Linked DNA regions of Drosophila melanogaster. The protein of the gene in region 1 purifies or fractionates together with the protein of each later gene. This does not show direct contact. Each region holds a gene or a part of one and is shown in the gene's direction. Other genes may lie near its edges.

What was found.
Region 2: the proteins of morgue (region 1) and SkpA purify together in Drosophila melanogaster (affinity purification with western blotting; 3 studies listed by BioGRID, with this or other methods). This does not show direct contact.

The regions. Positions count from the first base shown.
Region 1 is NT_033779.5:4,441,448-4,446,402, reverse strand, and holds morgue (modifier of rpr and grim, ubiquitously expressed), read left to right. Parts: upstream 1-1,722; 5' UTR 1,723-1,795; coding exon 1,796-1,939; intron 1,940-2,001; coding exon 2,002-3,333; 3' UTR 3,334-3,533; downstream 3,534-4,955. Other genes in the region: Elp3 (elongator complex protein 3), read right to left, coding at 1-291, 345-1,210, 1,267-1,508, 1,571-1,592; CG15432 (uncharacterized protein), read right to left, coding at 3,549-3,905; Sfp24F (seminal fluid protein 24F), read left to right, coding at 4,352-4,427, 4,482-4,933.
Region 2 is NC_004354.4:654,346-658,859, forward strand, and holds SkpA (SKP1-related A), read left to right. Parts: upstream 1-1,768; 5' UTR 1,769-2,439; exon of another isoform or gene 2,440-2,753; 5' UTR 2,754-2,764; coding exon 2,765-3,253; 3' UTR 3,254-3,554; downstream 3,555-4,514.

The DNA.
Region 1 (4,955 bases):
ACAATGGAGCATTCGCCCTTCAGTTCCGGGCGGAAGGTATCCGGTGAGCACTTTCGCAGCCTAAGAAGGCCTACGAGAATGTCCTGTTCAGGATCTTCGTATGAGAGGAACGTTTCCCAGCCGCCATTGGCCACATAGTCCCGACGAATTAGCTCAATTTCGTAAGGGCGCACCTTGTTGTGGATTTCCTGAATGCCAACTTCGCGGGTTCTAACATCGCGGCAAGTGGTTCCAAGATCCTTCATGCGGGCCAGCGCCAGTTCACGGAGATTTCCGTGTTCCACGCCGGAACTAAAATGAAGAAAAATGTCAGGTTTATTTAATATATATATCGGACAAGTTACCTAACAAGCGGCATGGGAATGTCGCGCTGTACGCGGTACACTCGCGTCCATGGTGGTACAAGGGCCAAAATCTTCGCCACTAAGTCCACAAGCATGGATGGCGGATATGACTTATATCGCCCGGTTTTCCATAACTCGTAGAGACCAGTGCCGCGAATGACGAGCGTGGGATAGATCTTTAGGCCGTCAGAGCGGAAGGCAGGGTTCTCAAAGTACTCGATAAACTGCTCGATGTCGCGTTCAAAGTCAACATTGGGAAGATCAGGCATCATGTGCGTCACGATCTTATAGCCAGCATCCTTGCCCAGCTGGAAGCTCTCGCACACCGCTCGCACCGTGTGTCCGCGGTTCGTATCCCTGGCCACGTCTTCGTAAACCGATTGCACACCGATTTCCAGCCGGGTGCAACCATAGCTAAGCATATCCGATATGTGCCGCTTTAGGCAGTAATCTGGCCTTGTTTCTATGGTGATGCCAATGCACTTTGTGCGTGACTTCTCCGAGTAGCGTACGGCTTCCGCCACATTGGCGCTGCTGTGGCCGGAGAGGGCGTCGTGTAGGTTGCGGATAAAGTAGTCGCGGTACTCCTCCGGCAGGCACATGAACGTACCGCCCATTACGATGAACTCCACCTTGTCCACACTGTGTCCCAGCTGCTTCAGCTGTTCAACGCGGTGTCGGGTCTGAAGAAAAGGATCGTACCGCGACCGGATGGCTCGCATCGAGGTCGGCTCGTAGCCTGTGTACGACTGTGTCGAGTACTCAAAGTCGCTGTCCGGTCCGCCGGGACAATAGACGCATATATTGCCGGTCATATTGATGTGCGGACAACGATGCGGCTTGCACATGACGGCGACCACGGCGATCTGGATTGAAATAATTGAAATGAATAGTACGCCTTGTGTAAGCAAGTGCGACTTACGCCACTTGCTGTGCGAATGGGCTTTGCCCTCAGCTTTGGAAGCAGAATTTTTTTGGCGTCCTGCGGCACGGCAGCAATTATGTCGACCAGGCGCGGCGAACTGTCCAGTCCATATTTGGAGGCCACCAATGATTTCATCCGATTAAGGTTTACATCCTTTTTGGCTTCGTGCGCCTTCAGCAGCTCCTGAATGATCTCCCCGATGACGAGCACCTGTCGTTCCTGGCGGCTCAATCCCACGCCTGAAATAATTGGCGGGGTAAACGGACGTTTAAAGAATTACTTTCGTAGCGACGTTACCTACCCAACTTCTTTTTTGCCTTCATTTTGCTGATGAATATCACATAAACTGCACGTGTGAAGTTAGCAGCACTTGTTTTGATTCGGTTATCGACCGACCAATAGTCCGATAACCACAACACTGTTTGACAGGTTTTGAAGCTAACACCACTTGGTAACACTTTTAGATGGTCTATCGTTTGTCGATTATTTATTTGTTTTAGCACCAGTTTCTCGGGAGTTCTGTAAAATGACTAGCTGCGTGCCAGCGCATCAGCAAAAGGACCAGGAGCAGTTGCTAAAGGAACTGGCCAGCAGTGGCGACGAGATGGACGACCCGGACGATCCGGACCAGGAACACCACCAGCTGGTAGAGCCGACCTTCTCTTTTTCGGTATGTATACAATAGGCTAGTTTCTTGCGGGCCGATTAATAAATAGCCTTTCCAATTTGCAGAATAGTAACACCTGCTGGGTGTGCAACGGCTACTATGGGCCCAACTTCGGGGAGCCGTTGTGCGGCGCCTGCCACGCCTTCCTGTACAACGCACAGCGGGCGGAGGAGCTGCTCACGGAGCTTTCCGATGACGAGGATTCTGGGAACGACGAGCCGCCGTTCAAGGACAAGCAGGAAGACGAGGAGACCGAAAACGACGTAGACATCATGGGCTTTGAGGATCTGGAGGACCCCCAACCGGCAGCCGTGCCACAACATCCAAATCCGCAGCCACCAATGGAGCCACAGGATCAACAGCCAGCCCAACCAGTTATAGATCTGCCACAGCCGGTGCCGGAGGCTGCGGCACCACGACGCGAGTCTCCGGAGCGCGACTTTGAGCACGAGAGAGCCATTAATCCCTTCCTGCTGCCCATTAAGCGTCCGCGGGCCACGGCTCCCTTGGCTCTGCCCCATTACATGCATGAGCTGGCCGATGGAAGGGCGCGAGTGCATGAATACAACGCCGCCAGCGGAAGCGGAGCAAGTGGCAGCAGCAGAAACATTGTCAACATAATACCCGTCGAGGTGATGCTGAAAATATTTGCCTATTTGGACGACATGTCGCTGTGGATGGCTAGTGAAGTTTGCAAGCAATGGCACGACATTGTCGGGAAAAACACGGCCCAGAGCATGTGGAAGGCGTATATCAAGCAGCGCTGGCCGCTGTTCGACAGTTTGGCAGACAATCCAAACTGGTATCGGCTGTACGGGGCACTGATGTCTTCCTGCTTCTGTCGCACTTGCCTGATTGAGATGGGCGGTCGGGGTCAGGATGCACAGGAGGCAGATCCACAGCTGGGCGATCGGGAGCCGGGCAATGTAATGCGCAACAACTTTCTGCGCGGTGAAGCCAATCTGCTGAACAGCTACGAATCTGAGGGCATATCGGCCATACCGTTGGATCGGCAAAACAACTACTGGCAGGCGACAATTCTGGGGCCACCGGGCAGTCCCTACGAAGGCGGCAAGTTCTTCCTGTTCATATACTTCCCGGAGCGATATCCGATGACGCCGCCCACAGTACGTTTCCTCACCAAAATCCTGCATCCGAATGTTTCGCGGCATGGGGACGTGGGCATCGACATCTTCCAGCAGCACAACTGGTCTCTGGCGCTGAACGTGGCCAAGGTGCTGCTTTCTGTGCAGAGCCTGCTGACCGATCCGTATACCGAAGTCTGCATGGAGCCTGAACTTGGATACATCTATGAGCACGAGCGCGAAAGGTTCGAGCAACTGGTGCGCGCGTGGACATGGAAGTACGCCATGTACGAGCTAATTGCACCGCGCTAGAAGATCAAAAGCCCTCCAAGGACAATGGACTGAAAGTTGGAAACTACCCCTCTTTACGTTGTAACTACATATGCCTGTGTATTTAGCTTAGTTGTGCCATCTGGATTGTTTATTTTGGCCTCCCCTCTCACTTTTCCTGCGCTCCAGGTTGAAACGTAGTCGAAATTACTTAACCTTATAATAAATGTATGCTTTAAGTTACGAGCGGCGTCGCCTCACTTCGTCCAGGACACCTTGGGGATGTCAAAGTGCTCGGTGAGCGTGTCCAGGTGCTCGTTGAATTTCTCCACGCGCTCCTTGTGGGTGGTTTGTGCCTTGTCCATGATTCGCTTGTTGCGCATCTTTTCCTGCTGCTTCTTACTGGCCAGCTCGGCCTTGGTGAGCTTCCGCTCGTAGCCACTGGTGGCGGAGGAGGATGTGGCCCCCGATTCCGCTATTTGCTGCTCCACGAACGCCTTCTGCAGCTCCTTCTCCTTGTCCTTGCCCTTGTGCTTCTTCTTTTTCTTCTTGAGATCCGAATCGTTCTTTAGTTTAAGCTTGCCCTTGGCCACGCAGGCGTACTCGTCGGACATGTCTTTAATGGGTTTTCAATCTGGAAATGGATTGGTAATGAATCCGATCTGTTTACGTTTTTCTTGTTTTTGTTTACACCAACTGCACGTTGTTATCTTTACATAATTTCTGATATTCGATGTTATTACCTGACCAGAAATATATCGATGGCATTTTATCGAATACATTTGAAATGTTACAAAATACGTTATTTTTGTTTGTTTTTTGTGGTAAGTTTCCTTAATCTAACAAGAAATAACTTAAAAACCTCTAATATAAATAAAAACAGTCCTGTAAGACTAAAAATAGTTGTTCAAGACATTACATACATTCAACTGTTAGAATACAAAATGTAAAACTTAAACGGTATTACCCATGGTAATTGAGATGATAAGCGAATAAAATCTTAAATTAACGAAATTAGCGAGCCTTGACGGCTAACTCCGGATTTTTTATCATTACCACAATGATTGTTAAACTGACTGGATCTACTACCTTTTTGGTAGCACTATTCCTGTTTGAGGTTTCTAGAAATGTTGCCGGTGAGTTTTGTTTTTATATATTATAAAGTAATTGACTTTTGATTATTTAATTAGGAGCTCTTGAGGCGCTTCAGACAACTAATGACACATTTGTTAGGATCGGGAACAGTTACTATCTCATTGAACGAAAACTTCAAAAAAATTGGTTTGGTGCCTACGAAATTTGTCGACAACAACAAGCGGAATTAATCTCTCTTGAAACTTTCGACGAATTGCGCCTGGTAAGCGAATACCTTTTAGCTAATAACATTTTCGAGAGATATTGGACCTCCGGAACGGATTTGGGAACCAAGGGAAAACATGTTTGGTTTTCCAATGGACAGCCCTTGTCAACGGATTTGTGGTACGGGGGAGAACCAAATAACAAAAATAATGAGGAGCATTGCGATGAACTGGGAAGTGATTTTAGACCGACAAAATCGCCAGGAATGAACGATCGGAATTGCAACTTTGAAAGTTCTTTTATTTGCGAAGAAGTTCAGCCGAAATATAATGTATGTCCGTAAAGATAAAACATTGTCAACTTGA
Region 2 (4,514 bases), on another chromosome or scaffold:
AAACGTCCTGCACCCATACATACACACTCTCTCACAGGATTGGATGACTTGCAATAATCCTCAATCCGCAAACCATATGTTCCGGCATTTTGCCAATATATTCGCTCCGTTGAAAATGGCCCTAATTTAGTTTTTATTCCTACGGCTTCGCGTTTGAAAGAGAGAGAGAGAGACCGAGAAAGAGGGGGCTTGTAACTGATGTCGTCGACAGCCATCCCTCTCGCTCGCACTTATTCCAAGCCCTTTTAGCCCATGCACACACACGTTTAACAAAAATCAATTAACTTGAAAGCACATGTAAAAAAAAGTATTGATCCACAAAAAACAAAAGGCACTTCGGTAATCCTGGAATACACACACTTACTGCCGAAAATATTTAAAATGAATGGGTACGCGTATATATTTATATGCTGGTGAACAAAAGGCGAGCATAACAAAAATGTCTTATCGATTTGCATGCGCAGCAGACAGTAATTGCAAATCTTGTATTTTCTTGAGTCTGTGCAACAACTGAAATACCTTTCTGGGCATAAACTATCATAAACACAAGTGGGTGGTGCTGGGAAACATCGCTGGAATTGAATATTTGTTTGTTGGTCGATTTGTTCTGAATGGAAACGAATGTCGTTTGCAAATTGCTCTCTCAGCTGTTTACAAACGCATACCACATAACGCAGGTGAGAGAGAGAGGGAGGCATATGCGCAGTGAGAATGGAAGATGAAGGGTTGCCAAGTGCGCAAAGGCTTGCAAATTAAGTACACTTGTGTGCGGGGTAACCGAAAAACGGGTGTTTACAATAAATTTCGCTGGGTGGATGTAGCTTTGTAATTTGAGTTCGCCAATTTTTTTTGTTGTTAACAGCATTTCGAAGCGGTTGCCAACCCTAGACGCTGGCTGGTTGCATGGTAACGAAAAATGGCGGCGCCTGTTACACACACTCACACACACATGCACGCACAGTCTGCTGTGTTTATGCACTTCATGCTGTTCCGATTTTTTTTTTGCACTTTTTCGATTTGTTGTCTGCATTTACCTTAAATGAATTTATTAACTAAGGCGATATTGTGCCTCTCGCTCAATCTCGCAAAACGATGCTTTGTCTGCTGCTTCTCTGTGCGTGTGTCCGTCTCTTTCCACGGCTTTTCGTCGAGACTCACATATACAAACGGCGACACACTGGATTGGAGCTGGACTCCGTTTTGGATGGCTTGGCTTTGGCTGCGTACCCAAAATAAATCGCGCTTGCAGTCCCAAATCATTTTAGTTCTTGACGCCTTTGTTCCACAAAAACTTCCAACCGCCGTCCATGGCTCGTGCTTTCTCTTTCGCTCGCGAGACGCTCCAAAAGTCGCGAGTATGGGAAGAGAATGTATCCCTCGCTCTTTCACGCCTAGAAGCGGCTGTAGCACACACAAGCACACGTAAACCCAGCCGTATGCATATACATATATTCCCTCTACTAGCGAGACGTGTGTACGTGCGTATGTATGTATGCTTTTTTCACTTCTTTCTCCTCTGCGTTCTTTGCACCAAGTGTCGCTGTTGCTATTTGCTACCGCCGCTCCTCTTGACGAATAAGTCGGGACTTGTATCAGCTCTAATTCGGACTTAGTTTACAAAATGCGGCTGCTTTTTTTCCGCGATACTCGGATTAGTGATGTAAAAAGACGTTGATGCTTCGACCACTGAAGTCAGTGCGATATGTATCGATAATTGAATGCCATCGATTGCTACGATTAAAACTGCCACCGCAGTTAGCGGAGACGCTCACCATTCTCTATTCGCCATTTGAAAGTATCGGTGTAATTTGTTTTCAGAGAAATTAATTTCCGTTTACTGTGCAATTCGGTGTGAAAGTGTTCAGATTTATCAATGCGTATTCTGCTTTCGACTTCGCCACCAATCTGTGCTGCAAGTTACCATTACCAGGTCCACCTGGTTCCCGCCAGTTTTCTTTCATTGTGGCTAGTTGTTGTTCGTGCCTTCGATAAAGACGTTTAGAGGTGTTTTTAGAGTTTCGCCATCTGGTCACTATAGCCGTTTCGTTTTTTACGTGAGTATTGTGAATTTGGTGTGTTGATTTATATCTCAGTTGGAGCCTGCGTGGAAATAGTGTCAGTACGTTTAAAGGCATCATCGTAAGGTTAGTCGGAAAACAAATAAAAAGCCTACAAATAGCAAGCAAGAACGCTTTCGCAACCACAAGAAAAACGAACATACGCACGCATCCATCTGTGGTAGAGTCGGCTTGTGTGGGGGTGAGTGGATGTGTGGGTGAGCATTTCTGGAAAGTGCCGTTCTCTATGTTTCGATTCTACTTATCCCTTCATCACCATTTCATCGTTGAATCATCACGAAAGAAACATCGAAAGTGCACAATCGTTTGTTATCTTTGTACGAAAACAACGGTGATTTCCACACAGGCATAACCTGCAAGAGTAATACGATACAAATTTTGATCTGATATGACCTCATTTTAGTCGGTTTGAATTTTAAAGAGAGCGACTCTGCAAACTGCAGGGATATGAACATACAAAATTCACAAATGATTGTTTGCATCCTAGTTGCTTATATTCATTTACACGCATGCTTATATGCTTACATCTGTTATCAATAATTGACGACTTGGTGCATGCGAAGCAAACGCATTGAAATGACTATTGGGATCCACACACTGTTAAAAAACACACTGATTGCACTGCCACACATTTCTCAACTAGAACCTAATGTTTTATACTGAACTTAACTGCAGGAAAGCCCAAAATGCCCAGCATCAAGTTGCAATCTTCGGATGAGGAGATCTTTGACACGGATATCCAGATCGCCAAGTGCTCCGGCACTATCAAGACCATGCTGGAGGACTGCGGCATGGAGGACGATGAGAATGCCATTGTGCCGTTGCCCAATGTGAATTCGACGATTCTTCGCAAGGTGCTTACCTGGGCTCACTACCACAAGGACGACCCCCAGCCAACGGAGGATGATGAGAGCAAGGAGAAGCGCACAGACGACATTATCTCATGGGATGCAGATTTCCTAAAAGTCGACCAGGGCACACTGTTTGAGCTGATATTGGCAGCGAACTATCTGGACATTAAGGGCCTTCTGGAGCTCACCTGCAAGACTGTTGCAAACATGATTAAGGGAAAGACTCCCGAGGAAATACGCAAGACCTTCAACATTAAGAAGGACTTTTCGCCCGCCGAGGAGGAGCAGGTGCGCAAGGAGAACGAGTGGTGCGAGGAGAAGTAAAGCGCGGCATTTCGCGGGACCAACATTAAGTTGAAACAGCTAGGGGATTCGGGAACGAATTGGATTTGCAGCATTGCAACTTTACTTAGTTGCTACTTTCATTTACATTTTTTTTTATTTTTAACCCCAGCAGAGACTCGATTTAAATTGTGTATAAATGATCTGTTGCTGATTTGATTCGCGGGGTTCATTTTTTGTCGTAAATATATCTCATATACATACATATGCGAGATTGTAACACTCTCTTTAACCTATTGGAGTAACACTTGATTTCACTTTAATAAATATAACTACCCAACACAAAGACACAGCCTATTTTGTGGGCTTCCCGGAGGGGTTAGGGTCCAAGGACTTCTCAAATTAAGAAGTGCTCTTTATTCGTTATCTTGTGTTTAGAAACGTTTGCAAGCGTTTGAAATGGATACGCATGCCATTTATGGTCCAGTCGGTAAAATTTTACGTGTTCCCAAGAAGGTACATATATATCTTAGATTATCTTATCTATAGAAACTACATTCATAAGATCACGCTTTCGGCGAATAGCGAGTAATACTGTAGCTGCCACTTTGCCACTTAGTGTGCAATTGAAATGCGCGCCAACGCATGTTCTCATATGCGGAGCGTTTAGCAGCCCTTAAAAAGCTTTTCATGTTGCTTTTAAAAAGCTACGACGGGTGTGGAAATTAGATTTGTGACGCTTTATATATCTTTTTTTTATATCGTCTGGGGTACAGCATGGTTTTAGGATTTTAGAAGAAAGCAGTAATTTTGTAAGAATCGAAGAACGGGGGGATATTTATAATTTTCATATTAACCTTGTCTTTGTTTGCTTTTGAAATTATGAATACTTCGAAAGATAATTATCTTGTGCGCATTCCATTCTGGCTTAGACTGGGTTGAGCTAAAAATGATTTGAAATACAAATTTTTAGGTGTCCGCTGATATATAAACAGTATGATGTTTTTGCACTTTTTTCCCTGAAGTTTTCCTTGTTGTCTCGCTTGCCAATGCTGAACAAAGTAGCCAAAGGACCTTTACTTGAAGCTTTGAGAGCGGAAAATATATTCGGGGACAATTGCTTTAAGTGTGCACTAGGCTTGGCTAGATGCCCGTGCCAAACTTTCTTTGGAATTGATCGCTGGCCTTAGCCAAAAGTGGAAAAAAGAAAGGATAGGATAGTGCCGCACGTATTAAGGGTCTTCTTACAAAAGGTAACTGATATTAATTCATTTGCATACTAAGCAAGCTAACTCATCTGTTT